Pelodiscus sinensis: one gene and its partner. The protein of the gene in region 1 interacts with the protein of each later gene in a biochemical or structural test. Links are inferred from orthologs where the notes say so. Each region holds a gene or a part of one and is shown on either strand. Other genes may lie near its edges.

Region 1 (7,829 bases):
ACAGTTTTATTTCCTTTACTGCTTTTTTTTAAAGAACAGTATGTACTAAAACAGTGCCTTTTCCTCACACATTAGATTTCTCAACCACATGATCTTTAGTGTAAAAGAAATGATATTTCAATTAAAAGTAGCCTTGTCAAACAAATAATGTTATTTAATGTTTGCTTTAAATTTGAATGTAGTCTAACCAACTAAATGTATTTATGTACTAGCTTGTTAAGCCTTACATTTCACTCCATAAACCAATTATGAGGCTACATCATTCAGTTTACATTGTTAAATTCATTCACCATTACTTTTAATATAATCCCTCAACAGAAATCCTGTGATATATTTTAATGAACTATTTTTTTTCATTTTTATGTTACCCATCTTTGAAAACATAGCATTTTTCTTCCTTCAAAATAATCTTGACATATGTAATTAAGAAACTGTCAGCTCATTATTAATTTTTAATAAAGGACCTAAATGAAATAATTATAGGAATCAATCAGAGAGGTACCTTTCAAAATTACAAAGCAATTGCACAAATATTCAAAATATGTTAAGGCCCGTTCGTTCCTGTGGATTTCTGTCCATAATCTCCCAAAATACTGAACCATAAAGAGTTGTATAACACAAAGAACTGTAATGGTTTCTAAGTATTAAAGAGACTTAAATTGTTCCCATATAGATACATATATATCAGGCATATAGACACAGACAGTGAGAGACTCTGGCGCCGTCTTAAAAAGGTTTGTTAATTTAATTAGCCACATATTTCAAAGGCTTTGAACCATATTTATATTTGAGTTCTTCTGTGATCCAACATAAATGAAGTTAAATAAGCATGATGAAACTTCAAAATAAAAAAAATACCCTTTATTAACCCTGGAAAATAAAGTGTGGCGCATGGCATGCATTACTAGCTAGCACTCCCCTGCTTAATGAGAGTTTAAACATTATATACCAAGTGGACAACCATCCATACCTTTGACTAAAAAGGCGCTTTTACTTTGAGATCCATACAGTCCATCATGTCAAACAGAAGTGGCAGCTGGAAAATGTGGAACAGCTGGCAAAGAGCTGAGAGAAAATGTTTTACATAAATATATCTACATATAAACTGGCAGAAGGCCACAAACACTGGACCCAAAGGACCAGCTCAAAACTATACACCAGAGGGTTAAAAAATGGAGGGGCAGTGGAGGGGATTTCCTTTCACCTTTTCTTTTCACGTGGTGCCTGGACTTGGAAGCTGCACATTTGTGTGTGTGTGTGTGTGTGTGTGTGTTTATATCAGCTGGGTTGGAAGAAGAGCAACTGTGTAAACAACCTAAGTTTACAGGCTAATTAAAACAACAGCGTATCCACTTTCCTAAAGCTTTAAAGTTATTTGCTATAAGAACACGCAGAAGTTCTAGTACGGACCAAATCCTATATGTGTTTTCTTCCTCTTCTCCATACCCCCTCCCCTCCAAAAAAGCCGAGACAGTAACTGTCGGGAGCGATTCATACTCAACCCTTCCCCCGTAATATTTTTCTTCATACATAGCAGGGAAGGGGGGGGGGGGTCGGAAAGAGGAAGAGAGGGAGGGGGAGTTGTAGAGGGTGTACAGAGCTCAGCAGTTTGGTATATGCAGCTTCCCAAGTTACCCAAGTTCCAAAGGCAGCAGTCACAACAAAATCACACAGAAAGGGCATAACTTTCACTCTGCCTCCGTTATGAATGAACGGGGCGCCTCATCCTACCTCCAAACCTTCCCCTGAAACGCCACCAGGTTAATCAAAACATAATAGAAAACGAACCGCCTTTTTCTCTCCCCAAAACTAACACTTAAAGTGTTCCCTCTCCCCCCAGCGAATCCTTGCACTTCTCCAGACAGGACGGGGTGTTTGCTACAGCAACAAAGTTGCAGCCAAAGAAACTGGCACGCAAAATAACAAGCAGCTTCTTTTGGGAAGAAAGCAGCTGCTGCATGCAAATCTGCAGTTCAACGGTGGGACAGTAAGCCTCAAAATCCTTTCGGAGTGCAGTAGGGCACAGAGAGAGAGGGGCCGGGGAGAGAGTACTTGCATATTGTTGCATACTTTTTTTTGTTTTGCTTAAAGTTAAGGACAGTTTGACAGCCATTTTTGGGGGTAGATCTCAGATCGCCTCCCTCTCCCCTCCCGTCCGAGTTAAAAAGAGAGCGCGCGAATGAGCTCGGAAATGAAAATACAGTGCCCCCCAACCCTCTGGCTTCTCGGCACACACTGCGCACAGCCCCGTAAACAAAGAAGAACTTCTTGCAAAACTCAGTCCACATACCTGCTGCGGCTGCCGCTGCTTCTGCCAAGCCCCCCAAACTTCCCATAGGCAAGGTTGGGTTGCTGGAGCTCCCCCGCACCGTGCCTGCAAGAGGGGATCTCTCTTTCTCTCTCCTCTGGCAAAGCTTAACAGGACCGACCCCAAAGGATGAAAGCGGGCATTTTGCTTCTGGGATTTTTTTTTGCGGGGGGGGGGGGGGAGGGAAGCGGCTTGGGAGAGAAGAGGCCGGGCTGCGTGTGTGTGTTTGTATTGGTGCTTGTTTTATTCCTGCCCTCCTCCCTGCAGGAGAGAGAAGGAGCGAAGCCCGCTCCGTTTGTGTGCGCGCGGATCCGACATCAGTTTCAGTGATCTTGTAATCTGATCCCTTCTGACTCACTCGCCCGGACTGACATTTCTGATTTGGTTCAACAAAGGCGCGGGGAAGAGGCGGGGGAGAGAATCTACCAGGCTGGAGCAAAAACTTGCATCGGAAGTCCCCTCCATCCCCCCTCCCCCCCCCAAAAAAAACCCCATGTCAATCGCACCGCAGCTTTTCTTTTTAAGTCCACCCAAGGAGGGCCATAAAAACACCCCTGCTCCGATACTCACGTGTTGGAAAAGTTGTCCCTTCTGCCTTCCTCTCTGCCTCGCTCCTTTCCTCCTCCTCCTCCTTCGAGTCCAAGTTTTACAGATGTTGCTGGACTCTTCTCCACCACCAACCCCGCCTCCCCCCTCTCCCTTTCAATTCTCCACTCTGCACCAGAGGAAGGGGAATGACCTTCGGGGGAAAGAGGCAACTTTGGGGCTCCCCCACCACCCCCTGCCGGGCGGGTCGGGGACACTCAACTTTTTGGCGCGGGGAAAAGGGTCCCCCCTTTGGATTTGCCTGCTGGAAGGGCTACAAACGCGAGGGTCACCCGCTCCCCTCCGCCTGGCCACTGGGGAACGTGGGATTCCTTCGCGGAGGAGACCGGAGCGACCGAAGTCAGCAGGGGGCATGTGGGGCGGGTGTGCTGATCAGTGCTGGGTGAATGAGAAGCCGGGAGCAGCACAAACACGCGCTCTCAATCTTATGTCCCCTCTTCTCCTCCCTCCTTTTACTTTAGCCTCCCCCCCCCCCCCCAAAAAAAAAACCTTCGGCTTCAGCTCAGACACCAGGAGGCCACACCCATAGCTGGGAGGGAAGGGGAGAATCTGGTTTGGTGCCTTCACTCAGCCACTTCCCCCTTCCTTCACTCTGGCATCAGGTTCTCTCTCTTTTTCATCTTCCTCTCTACCTTCTGTTACGCTGTCTGCTTCCCTTCCCACCCTTCAGTCTGTGCACAGCTCTCAGTCCGGGTCAGAAAGGCTCACTTGTTTGCCTTTCCTATTCTTTTTTATCTGGCCCTCACATTTTACCCTCTCTTTCCCACTGTCTTCACACCTTCTCAGAGCATTCAAAACTCATGGGTTTAACCTCCACAAGAGAATTAAGGGTTTAAAAAACAACAACAAATTTGAGGCGTTCTCTGTATTTACTTTTTGGCATTTGGGCCTTCGGGATTCACATTCACAGGCTTAGCTCTACTCTCACATAGCCTGGAAACTTTTTCAATTGAAATTGAGAGTCTCCAGAAATCACATGACTCTGGCACCTGGAGCTGCAAGAAAAAATATCAAAGCTCATAAGAATTGGAAATACTGCCTCCTTCTCCTGTATTGGTCCTTTTCTCCCTGTAAAAACCCGCTTTTGAACTTTTTGTCCCACTTTTCTTTAGTTTTTCTCCCCAGACTAGGACTAAATGTATACATCATGATGTATACCAAATGATATAGTCCAATACTTAGCCTTTCATCTGCTCCTTTTGCCATAATCTGATTACCAACTGATTCAACAGATTCACTCTTGATTAGATCTTGATTCAGCAAGATGCTTAAGGACACAACGAGTCTCACTGAAGTCAGTGTTAAAGCTAGGCATATGCTTAAGTGCTAAGAATGCCAAGCCAATAAAAATCTCAATTAATCATTCAATTAAAAATTAATCACGATTAACTGTGTAGTTAAAATTTAATCACGATTAATTGTGCACTTAATCATGCTCTTAAACAATAATAGAATACCATTCATATAGAATGTTTGGATGTCTTCCATGTTTTTAAATACATTGATGTGAATTATAACACTATACAAAGTGTATGGTGATGACTTTATATTATTATAAATATTTGCACTGTAAATATAAAAGAAATAGTATTTTTCAGTATATTTAATACAAGCACTCTCTTTATTCTGAAAGTTGAAGTTACAAATGTAGAATTATATACAAAAATAATCTGCATTCAAAAATAAAACAATGTTAATATATAGCACCTACAAGTGCACTCAGTCCTACTTCTTACTCAGCCAATTGCTCAAACAAATTTGTTTAAATTTGGAAAAAGATAATGCAGTCTGCTTTTTGTTACAATATCACCTGCAAGTGAGAACAGGCATTCACATGCCCTTACGTTTCTAGTAGTTATGACTTCTTTGTTGTGATGTGGGAAAAATTCAGTTGCCACATGACACTATAATGGTAATAATGTGACATATGACAGGTAAGAAATGCTGCTAGAAGCCTATTTTAATCACTCTTTTTTTTTACACGCTTTAGAATTTTTTATATTTTAAAATTGAACAAAGTCAAATTAAGCTCTAATAAATTAAAATTAATTAAGAGTCTTTGCAGATTCTACATGTGTCTTTTAACTATCCATGTCATTTTTTGGTGGTTTTATAATCACATTTTCCTGTAAATAATGTTTTTCTCTCCCCTGTTTCTACATGAAATATCCTCAGAAGCCAAAGGGGAAACTGATTAACTATCCACAAAGTACTATCAAACAAAGAGAAACTAATGAGAAAAATGTGCTTTATCTAATCTCAGGCCTAGTAATCTGAGATGTTAGTTGTAACAATAGCCAGTAAAAATATTGAGACAAATATATTTTAAATTGAGGGTGTGCAGTGCTTAATATCTAATTAAAAAGATGCTGGGGCTCAAGCAAATAGATTCAGGGGCTCCAAAAGGTTTTGTTTTGTTTTTGTTATTTTAATTCATAACTGATGCAACAAATCCAGTGGTGCCAGGTTCTGAACTGCCAAGCCTAGCGGTGCACAGGCAATCTCTGGCACACATTAAGCAATGAGGGTGTCTTTTTAAATCACAGCTCCTCTTGAAAACAATAGTTGACTTCTGAACTAGTTGGACTCATCTTTACTGTAAATCTGAACAATTTCTTATGCCACAAAATAATATTTCATCTTTTACTATGCTCACCCACACTGAGTATTTTCAAAGCATCTCTCTCAGCTTCCCCAAACCCTTGCTCCCTCAAATCACAAGTGCTCTCTCATTAAGACAACTAAGAAATTAAAAAACTTAAAAGGAATCTGAGTGTTTTGACTTCTGCTTATGAAAAAAGAGACTTCTGATACATCTCCGAGACTTGAAAATATTGAAGGAAGAGGAGTAACAAAGAAACAACCAGGCTTTCTGCCTTTGCCTCTTTGAATAGGTCACACTGAGCAAAAAAAGGGGAAAAAATGAAGGCGAGGGGGTGACATTTGCTATTTGAAATGTATTGTAAATGTTTCAACACCTTGACAATGAAATACCTAACAGAAGCTTAGGACATCCAAGGCCCTTCAGCTAAACAAAATGAAAATGGGCAGATTTGTTTAAGGAGGTTCCTTCTTGAAGATTTTTCACTTTTGTTTTAGAGAATTCATACTTTAAAGAAGTAGTGGCAAGATAAAAATATTATATTAATAAGAAATCATTACTAAGGGGTTGCATTACCCTATTGATAAAACCTGCACTGAGAAATTCATCCATATGATTCCTTCAGGAGCAAGTGTTGCCTCATGCAGATTAGGTCAGTGGGTCAATGTTAACTTCCATCTCTGTGCCATCAGTGCCAACCACTTCTTGGTAATAAGGCGCCATTAGAACTCAGGGCTGCCACCAAGTATCTAGTTTTGTGAAAAACTCAAACATTCAGAAGTGCATCAAAAGCTGCCTTCCTTCTTGCTGCTCCCCCTGTTGGATCAAGGCAGGACATAGAAGCCAAGAGAAGCAAGGCACTATGGCAGCAAAGGCTGAAGATGAGAGTCCCAGTTGTAACCTCAGGCTCTTTTACACCCACACATTTTGCTGCACCAGAATCCTCTTCCCACCCTCTCCCCATTCCAAACCCTGAATATACTGACTATAACCCATCTCCCAGGGACCCTCTAACTTTCAGAAGTGCCTCACCTGCCATCCAAGTGTTCCAAGTAACTGTTAACCATTCAAGAGTTCCCAGCACCTCTCTCCTTTTCATCAAGCACCTGCTCCCTAGCAATTCCAACACTACGTTAGCAGTTAGCAATGGAAGTTCAAAAATCAGAAGGCAGACCAAAAAACAATTTTTTAATGTCACGATTTCTGAACCATTCTGATTTTCTGACTCACGATTTTTTAACTTTTGGGGGTAGACAATAAAGTATTGCTCACTCTTTTAGTGCGGGTTGCATGATATTTGATGCTTTTCTAAAAGACCCAGCTCTTGAAATTCTGTGATTAGATGAGAATCTCAGCTTTCATTTAAATAAAAATACATTTCTCACATTCATATTTCTAGGTCAAAGCTTGAAAGTGTGGTCTAAGCACACCCTAAAAGCTCAAAAAGCAGTAAACATATAAAAAGAACTCCAAACATTATTTGTTTTGTCTCATACTTTTAAACTAGTCTTGTGACTGGGGAGAGAGGGTTACTCATGATTTTTAACCACAGTGGGTTGGCAATACCATGAATGTGAGAAAGAGAGAGCCACATATAGTGGAATATTTCAGATAATTAAAATTACAAGAATTACACAAGTCTAAGTTAATTTCCACAAGGTAATTTATTTATTTTTATTTTATGCATTTCACTAAACTTCTAAGGGTCAATGTGATTGTTAGGTTCAGTTTCACTTTCTCAAATTCCTTTGCTTGCAAAAAGTGGCTCTGTGTCAGTTCCCAGCACTACTGATAAATGTTTATTTTTTAAAAAATGTAAGTATTGTCTCACTTATTTTTAATGTAATGAAAACATTTTTGCCTTAATAAAGTTTTCTAAAATCTATTTTGGGGACTGGAATGACTTGATGGTATCCCTTAAGCCATGGCTACTCAGCTTTGGAAAACCCAGAGGCCACAGTGATACAGCACATGTCGAGGGCTACTACTTACATGTGGTTGCATATACATGGCAAGACTACACAACATGCAAGCCCCATTTAACTTAGTTCTGCTGATATTAATGAAATGCAATATTTACCCAATTTCTACCCATATGACAGCACATTCAATGAGCAATAACAGTCCAGGAATGTAACAACTAAAATGCATACCAACAGAAGACCATTATATTGACTACTTTTTGTTTTGGCTCCCACCTGCGGGCCATGTGTTGAGCCCTGTGTAAACCCAAACTGCAACGTGGGTCGCAAACAAACAGGCCATAAGCCGCATTTGGCCCACGAGCCACATGTTGAGTAGTCCTGCCTTAAG
Region 2 (7,776 bases), on another chromosome or scaffold:
GAAAGAAAGTGGCCTGGGATTCTCTGACTGAATCCGACTGTATGTTATGAATTATTCTGGCTTTGAGAGCTCTGGTTTTGGAAAGGAAAGAAGAACCCTTGGGGTTATTTATGTATTAATTTTGGTATTCAGTAAAATTGAAAAATAGCCTGCAGATTTCCCAACCCTACTGAACCCCCAGTTATTTTAACCCGGGTTTGTTCCTTCGTGAATTAAAACAGAACCTAAACTTTGCCCAGAGAAGCCAAATACAGGAAAAGATATTGCAAACAAACAAGAATTCCCCACTACTTTTATTTGCAGTATCTCCCCACTGTTCTTCCCAAGCATCACTCTAGCAGTTTAGCGATCTCTGTATGCTTATTAGAGACATTTGCTCACCTTACTATCGCTTTTGATTATCTAGGATCTAGCATACAATTCATCCCAGACATGTATTCAATTTAATTAAATCATTATAGTCCTCGGAGCAAGCGAGTTCCTACACACTTCTATTTTTTTTATAAACACAAATCGTGTCTCCCCCCCCCACCCACATTTTTGATACATTAAAGTATTTCTTCCTGCCTCTTTCTGCACTTTGATTTTCTGAACCCTTTTCTTTGTCGAAGTTCAGACCTGTTTACTTCAGCCGGTATCTCTGAAGTTCAAATGTACATGTGATTACCCCTCGACTGATTGACAGTTACAATGAAAATGTCTCATTCGCTTCTGGTTTGCATTTAATTACACTGGAATTGCAATATGGTTATGGCAGAAGAAAAACTACGTTCCTTTCCGCTTATTAGTGATATCCATTTGTCTATGATAGACTGCATTGTAAAAGGAATTTAGCGCTCGTAAAATATTTGCCTTTCTATCTGGGCTGCAGTTTTAAAACAAAAAGTCTTTATACGGCCATAAAAAAATAAACTTCCAGTATAACCCAGCGATTAGCTTTTAAGCACGCGCAGAACTGATGGGAGATCAATACAGAAACTTCACCTGAAAAGCCCCACAGAGAAATGATCTTTACAGGGAAAGAAATGACTTGGGGAAATTTGCCTTTTGCCTGACATTACTGTGAGGAGCATCTAGTCAGTTTTCACTCAGGCAACAGTCCCAGAAACTTTAATGGGAGTTGTGCTGGAGTAAGAGCGAGAAAATGAGACTTATAGTCAAGAAAACACCACTTTTGGTCATTTTCACATACCACACACGATCCTAGGTCTGGTGTGCATTCTACAGCAAGGCGAACGTTGTGTCCGGGGGCACAAGAATTTAGCTAGAAAACCCCTCCCTCCCTGTATAACCAAAGAATCCTGTATGGAAATAAATCAGGGATCCTTCGCAGGAAGGAAAGGCGCTTTGCTGTTTGAAGGGGGCTTTCGGATTTGGAGAGTGTCAAAATTCCAATTCCATCCCAGATTTGAAAATAACCCCCCCAAAGGGGCAAATTACACAAACACGCGTTGGACGTAAAACTAGAATCCTGATCTCCGCCTAGTCTGTTCCTTCCGACACAAAACACCGGATGACGACTGCACAATGCTCTTTCCCCCCCCCCCCCCACTTTTTATATTTAATGGATTTAAAGGTGAGAGGTATTTGACCTTTCTGGCTCTGCGAAATAAACACGAGGAATCTTGGACTGGTTCTGTGCTGCACTGAATCAAAACCACTATTGCGTGAACTTGTCAAAAAACACACCCGCCCCCCATCATGGGGGCTTAGTTGCAAAAAGGGAAAAAATAGAGTAGAACCCGCTTTTACATGGCATTTGTGTAATTACTGGCTATTTCGTTTCAAATATAAACCAAATCAAAATAAAATACAAGTCCATCTGCACTATTTTAGATACATACACTCATTATTCCACACACAGCTCTAGACCCGGCAGAGTAGAACCGGGAAACGTATAAAGCAAAGATTTACAGGCTAATTTATGTCGCCCGATCTACAAGTAGACTCCAGCCTGTCAGTGCTGATAATGTTGCCTTCTGCTAAGCAATAAAATAGTTTCAAGAAATGGCGAATCCTAGCTCATTTAAAGCCACGGTTTCTTTCCACGCTCGTGTTGCTTCTCTTGAGAAAAGGTGGCGCTTTTACCACTTGAAGAGCTAATATTTTTATAGGCAAAAACCTTCCCCATCTCAGCCCAGCTTTTCCTGGGGAAAGCCAAGTTTGACTCCCTCCCTCTCCCCTCCGTGTTAAAAGGTCCTCTGTAAAATAATAATAATAATAATAATAATAATAATAATAATAATAATAATAATAAATTGAGCTGTCTGGCAAAAGGGACTAGACTCTGAACTTCACTTTCTTTTGCAGAGTTATTTCATAAACTGACATCTGCATAAATGTACCCATCCAACCTTTCAGAGCACCTGGGTCAAAAAAGAACCAACCCACCCATCCAACCCACAAATCCCCTCCGAGGACAGAGATCTCCTTGGGTTTTCGTTCTGAGTAGCAGCGCGCCTGGAAGTTGTTTTACATCATATTCAGGCTAAAGACAATGAGGAGACCCACACGTGAGGCCTTCTGCAAAAGCAAAAGGCCATTCGCCCTCCTTGCCCCAGGTCGGGAACTTCACAGGCATTTCTCTACCCAATACTCGCCGGATGATCTAATTGAATTATGCTTGTTTTGTTGCAGAGACAACACAACACGTGCTGGAGGTAATTAATTATCCGATCTGGGCCCTGACTTGTCCAAGAGACCAGGTACATCACTCGTAAAGATCCCTTCGGTTTGCAGTGTGCCATAAAACACCGAAATGGGGAAGTTAGATATTCTTTGCTGAGCCGGTTGAGAGACACTCCGCCATGAATCGGAGTCCAGGGGCCTGGGTCTGAACCACCAGAAAAGACCGGAGCAGGTTCCTGCGCTGGGCCTGGGTTTACCACACTTCCTCCCACGACCCCCCAACCCACCAGAGTCCTCCAGCATATCCTCATCTATCCACATCCCACCTAACAAAGAACAACAACTGCGTAGTTCTCCGAGCTTTCAAATCCCCCCTCGTTCGTTTTATTTCCTAACATTGATTCTCAGCTTTGAATGTGCCCCGTGCAGGCAAATTCAGTCCCCGTTGACGTGTGTTTGTGTGTGTGAAACAAAACCCGAAGCAAGCGGTTCCCTCCGAGCCAGGATCCCGTCTCTCTCCTCCCTCCAAATCTGCATTAAATCTGCTATTTTTTTTCTATTGCAAGAGGGGTTTGTTGTTTGTTTGGTTTTTTTCTCTCGAGATGCAATAATCTAAGACAGAAAGGACTCACCTTCCAACTTTGGGAATGTTCTTGATGGCTGTGGAGTGTGAATTTTGATTGGTTTGATGGGAGATGGTGTTACTACTGAGGGAGATTTTATATCGGTGGCTTTTTTTTCAAACCCTAAAATAAAGAATGTGGAGTCTTTCCTGGGGCTGATTGGGGGGAAGGATGTGAAAGGGCTGCAGTTATAAAGCGCTGCTTGAAGCAGTCTCTCAATGCGTCTCTGAACTTGATCAGATTTTATGTTTCCTGCAGAGAGACGGCGGCAGTCCTGTGAGACCGGCTCAATAGACAGACTTTGGGGCTCAGCAAATCTCAGGATATTACAATTACAGCCATCTTTCTTTCTGCCTTTTATTTCCACTCTTGCTCCCCATCGTTCTTTGCAAATGCTTTCCAGAACAGAAAATGAGCGGATTTATGGGGCTGTCTGCAGCTGATAATTATTTCAAGGCAGAACTTTGCAACGGCAAAATAATAAATAAAACCCATCAATAAATAAACACAATCAAATAAACAAAAAAGGGGCACCATTGATTGAGACTTTGCTCCACGTTTCTAAACCAATTTATATAGCGATAAAAAGTGAGTCACTTACACTGTTTGTGGAGCTAAACCCCTCGGCATTTAAGCTTAAGAACATGAGGGGTTTATGCCCTTTATCTTGTTCAGCCCAAGATTTGAAATAATCTCTTATGCTTTTTTTTTATTTCTTTCATCTTCTTGTGGGGAAAAAGAAACGGTGTGTGGTAGCTAACCATAAGCAGGGCCCACCAAATTTACTCCTAAATAAAATCGCTTTGAACTCGAGGCTGTTCAGTTGATTCCACCCCCTTCCCCCGCCTCCCCCCCCCAAGGAAAAGAGACCAGTGTAAACGTTTGCAGAACAGCTCTGAATTATGCTGCCTTAATGGAGATTCGTTTTTAAACCTTTTCTTTTTTTAATAGCGCGGAAGATTTACGGTTTCCAATCAAGGTGCAATTTTTAAGCAGCTGGATCTCGCCAGCCAGCGAACGGTTGCCTCCCCATTGCTATCTCTGTCCTTTGATCTCTCGCTTGGCCCTGCGGTATGTCTCGCTGCGCTTTGGGTTTGAGTTGTTTCTTTTTTTTTTTTTAATATATTTTAAAAACCTGGGTGAAGACAGACGGGGTGTATGCGTGTGTGGGGGGCAGAAGACACCCTGAAAGGGGGATCCGAGTGGGGACATGTAAATAGACCTGAGGGGGTAGAGGGATGCAAACCCGGGACGCATGGTGGCTGAGAGGCAGGCGCTGCGGGCTAGGAGGGGGAGGCTGGAGCACAATTCGCTTCCAGCGCCGCGGGCACCGCGAGTAAACAAACCATGTGGGCTGCGGGCCCCCTTACCCCTTACCTGCGAGTCACTAAACCCGCGCGGGCCAATCAGCGAGCCGGCCGGGCCGGGAGCTGCCAGGGTCCCTGTGAAACTCTGCCACTCACCAGCGGCCCGGCCAATGGGCTGGCCGGCCGGGGGTCAGGTGACGCGTCGCCAGCCGGCTCCCCATTGGCTGGGCGCGGGCTGCCTCTCGAGTTGGTTTATGTGCGGGGAGAGCGCTATTGAGTGTAGCAGTCCAAGGACACTGCCGAGTGGGCCGGACGCGGAGCGGCGCAGCCGAGCTGGGGAGGGGGCCGCGGCGCTGGGCAGCCCCCCGAGGCGGGCGCGCGTGGGGCTGTCGCGCGTGGGGCCCGCGGGGCAGGAGCGCTTCCCCCCGCGGCCGGCCCATTGTGTCGGGGGGACCCTCCCGCCGCTGCCCGGCGGCCGTCCCGCCCCATGAGCATGCTGCTGGACGGGGGGCCGCAGTTCCCCGCGCTGGGCGTCGGGGGCTTCGGGGCCCCGCGGCACCACGAGGGGCCGAGCCGCGACGCCGCCGCCGCCGGCGGGATGGGGCTGAGCCCCTTCGGGGACGCCTCCCACGCGGCCGCCTTTAAGCTCAGCCCGGCCGCCCACGAGCTCTCGTCCGGCCAGAGCTCGGCGTTCACCCCGCAGGGCTCGGGCTACGGCAACGCGCTGGGGCACCACCACCACCACCATCACCACCACCACCACCACGCCGGCCAGGTGCCCGCCTACGGGGGCGCGGCCGCCGCCTTCAACTCCACGCGGGACTTTCTCTTCCGCCAGCGGGGCTCCGGCCTGGGGGAGCCCGCCTCCGGCGGCGCCCAGCACGGCATCTTCGGCGGCTCCCCCGGCAGCCTGCATGGGCCGCCGGGCATCGCGGAGAGCCCCGGCTACCTGCTCTTCCCCGGGCTGCACGAGCAGAGCCCCAGCCATTCCTCCCCCGGCGGGCCCGTGGAGAACGGGCAGATGCACCTGGGGCTGCGGGGGGATCTTTTCGGGCGGCCGGACCCCTACCGGGCCGTCTCCAGCCCCCGCACGGACCCGTACGCCAGCGCCCAGTTCCACAACTATGCCCCCATGAACGTGAATATGGGCATGAACGTGGCGGCCCATCACCACCACGGCCCGGGGGCTTTCTTCCGCTACATGCGCCAGCCCATCAAGCAAGAGCTGTCCTGCAAGTGGGTCGAGGAGACCCAGCTGAGCCGGCCCAAAAAGAGCTGCGACCGGACTTTCAGCACCATGCACGAACTGGTCACCCATGTGACGATGGAGCATGTCGGGGGCCCGGAGCAGAACAACCACATCTGCTACTGGGAGGAGTGTCCGAGGGAAGGCAAGTCTTTCAAGGCGAAATACAAACTGGTGAACCACATTCGCGTTCACACGGGAGAAAAGCCCTTCCCGTGCCCGTTCCCAGGCTGTGGGAAAATCTTTGCCCGGTCCGAGAATCTGAAGATCCACAAAAGGACGCATACAGGTAAGGAGAGAGGGGGAAAATAAGTAACGGGGCGTGTGAATGATTCAACAGTGGGAAGGAAAGAAACCCCCTACTATCCCCCCCCTTCCAATCGATACCATCGTGTGAGATCCAAGCCCCTTGGAGAACTGGCGAAAAATGTTCCTTCTCCCCGAGCTTGGAGGCAAATGCCGTATTCTTTGTCGTTCTTGAAAACTTCTCACTCGGGGGGTTTAAGTCGTTTTAACCTCCGCCTGTTCCACGAGCGTGTTAATTTCACTCAGCGATACCAATCGCTCATTTCTCCATAACCTAGCTAGACTGAAGATTTCGTCCGATTTTTTTTTATTGGCTCTTTTTTGGGGTTTATAATGAGGCAAAGCAAAAAAATTGAGCGTGGATTGCTTTACAAACGATTTAGCTGTCTGCATACATTCTGTTAAGGAAACTATACAAATGCTAATTAAATCTAATTTTCGGTTACTTCCGTTCTTTTTTAGTCTTGATTGGCACATCTCCTAATTAAATCAGTGATACTTTTGTCAAAGTATTTTTATTTGGAGCTTCTGTCTTCAATTCAGAGCGCCACAAAAGTAAAGTAAAACTAGGAAAGGCAGGAAACCCACACGTTTTCTTGTCTTGTTGGCTACATCTTGTAAAACTGCTGTGTGGTGCTCTCGAATTTATGTAGGTACCCCTCCGCCCTCCCCATCCTAACATCAAGTACTGGTAGTCTGCCTTTAACACTTCGCCTAGCACAACCGTTGCATTTGAAAGAGGCAAATTAAAAGTAACAAAGGACGGATAGAATTTAACTGTAACGTAACAAATCCTATTGTCTGATCTTTTTGTGTGTGTATGGATGTGTGTGTGTGCATACTATCTCCACCGGTAGAAGCTTGGTAAAGGAAGGTGCGGAAGGGAAATAATAAAAAAGAGAAATAAAAGTTTTGATGCTTGGTGTATTTCCGCTGACATTGGAAGAAAAGTGTTTGTGAGACTACGGACGAAAGCCAAGAGAGAGTCTCTCACCCTCTGCATCAAAGTAATTGTTGTAAGCGAGTTGCCAAAGCGATCGATCCGCTAACGGGGAATCGAAATGAACCTTTCCTCTGTAGTGTCCTTTAACCCTTTCTGAATTTTGCAGGTGAGAAACCTTTTAAGTGTGAATTCGAAGGCTGTGATAGACGCTTTGCGAACAGTAGTGACAGAAAGAAGCACATGCATGTACACACTTCAGACAAGCCTTATATCTGTAAAGTGTGTGACAAGTCTTACACCCATCCCAGCTCTCTTAGGAAACACATGAAGGTAATTTAACTCTTGATCGCTTTTCTGGCTCAATAAATTCGAAGCCTGTTCTCCCCTCTCCTTCCCCCTTGTTAAACTACATTTGTGCAACGATCGATGCAGCTTTAGGATGACACAGTTCATCCACTCTGAAAGATTTGTATTACAGCAGTTTGCACTCCTCTCCGATTGATGAAAATGACTAGTGGAACTGTCCCTTTTCACACCTTCTCCGCAGTTCTAGCTGTAATTAATAGCTAGGCCCTTTCAGTAACAACAATCGTTTGGATAAATTGCATTATTTATTTTCTTGTTCCACAGACGGGATAGAAAGACGGTTTAAAACCGTTCTTGAGTGAGTGATATGTAGCTGCAAACGAGGAGGAAATTATTGGAATGTTCTTAAAACATTGA

What was found. The genes of interacting proteins can lie anywhere in the genome.
Region 2: the proteins of GLI3 (region 1) and ZIC3 form a complex in vitro, tested with the Homo sapiens proteins (2 studies listed by BioGRID). The link is inferred for Pelodiscus sinensis from reciprocal best matches to the Homo sapiens genes GLI3 and ZIC3.

The regions. Positions count from the first base shown.
Region 1 is NC_134712.1:165,508,213-165,516,041, reverse strand, and holds the start of GLI3 (transcriptional activator GLI3), read right to left. Parts: upstream 3,009-7,829; 5' UTR 2,879-3,008; intron 2,624-2,878; exon of another isoform or gene 2,337-2,623; coding exon of another isoform or gene 2,291-2,336; intron 1,066-2,290; exon of another isoform or gene 971-1,065; intron 1-970. UniProt on the Homo sapiens protein: Has a dual function as a transcriptional activator and a repressor of the sonic hedgehog (Shh) pathway, and plays a role in limb development.
Region 2 is NC_134723.1:35,733,519-35,741,294, forward strand, and holds the start of ZIC3 (zinc finger protein ZIC 3), read left to right. Parts: upstream 1-4,768; 5' UTR 4,769-5,045; coding exon 5,046-6,093; intron 6,094-7,219; coding exon 7,220-7,383; intron 7,384-7,776. UniProt on the Homo sapiens protein: Acts as a transcriptional activator. Required in the earliest stages in both axial midline development and left-right (LR) asymmetry specification. Binds to the minimal GLI-consensus sequence 5'-GGGTGGTC-3'.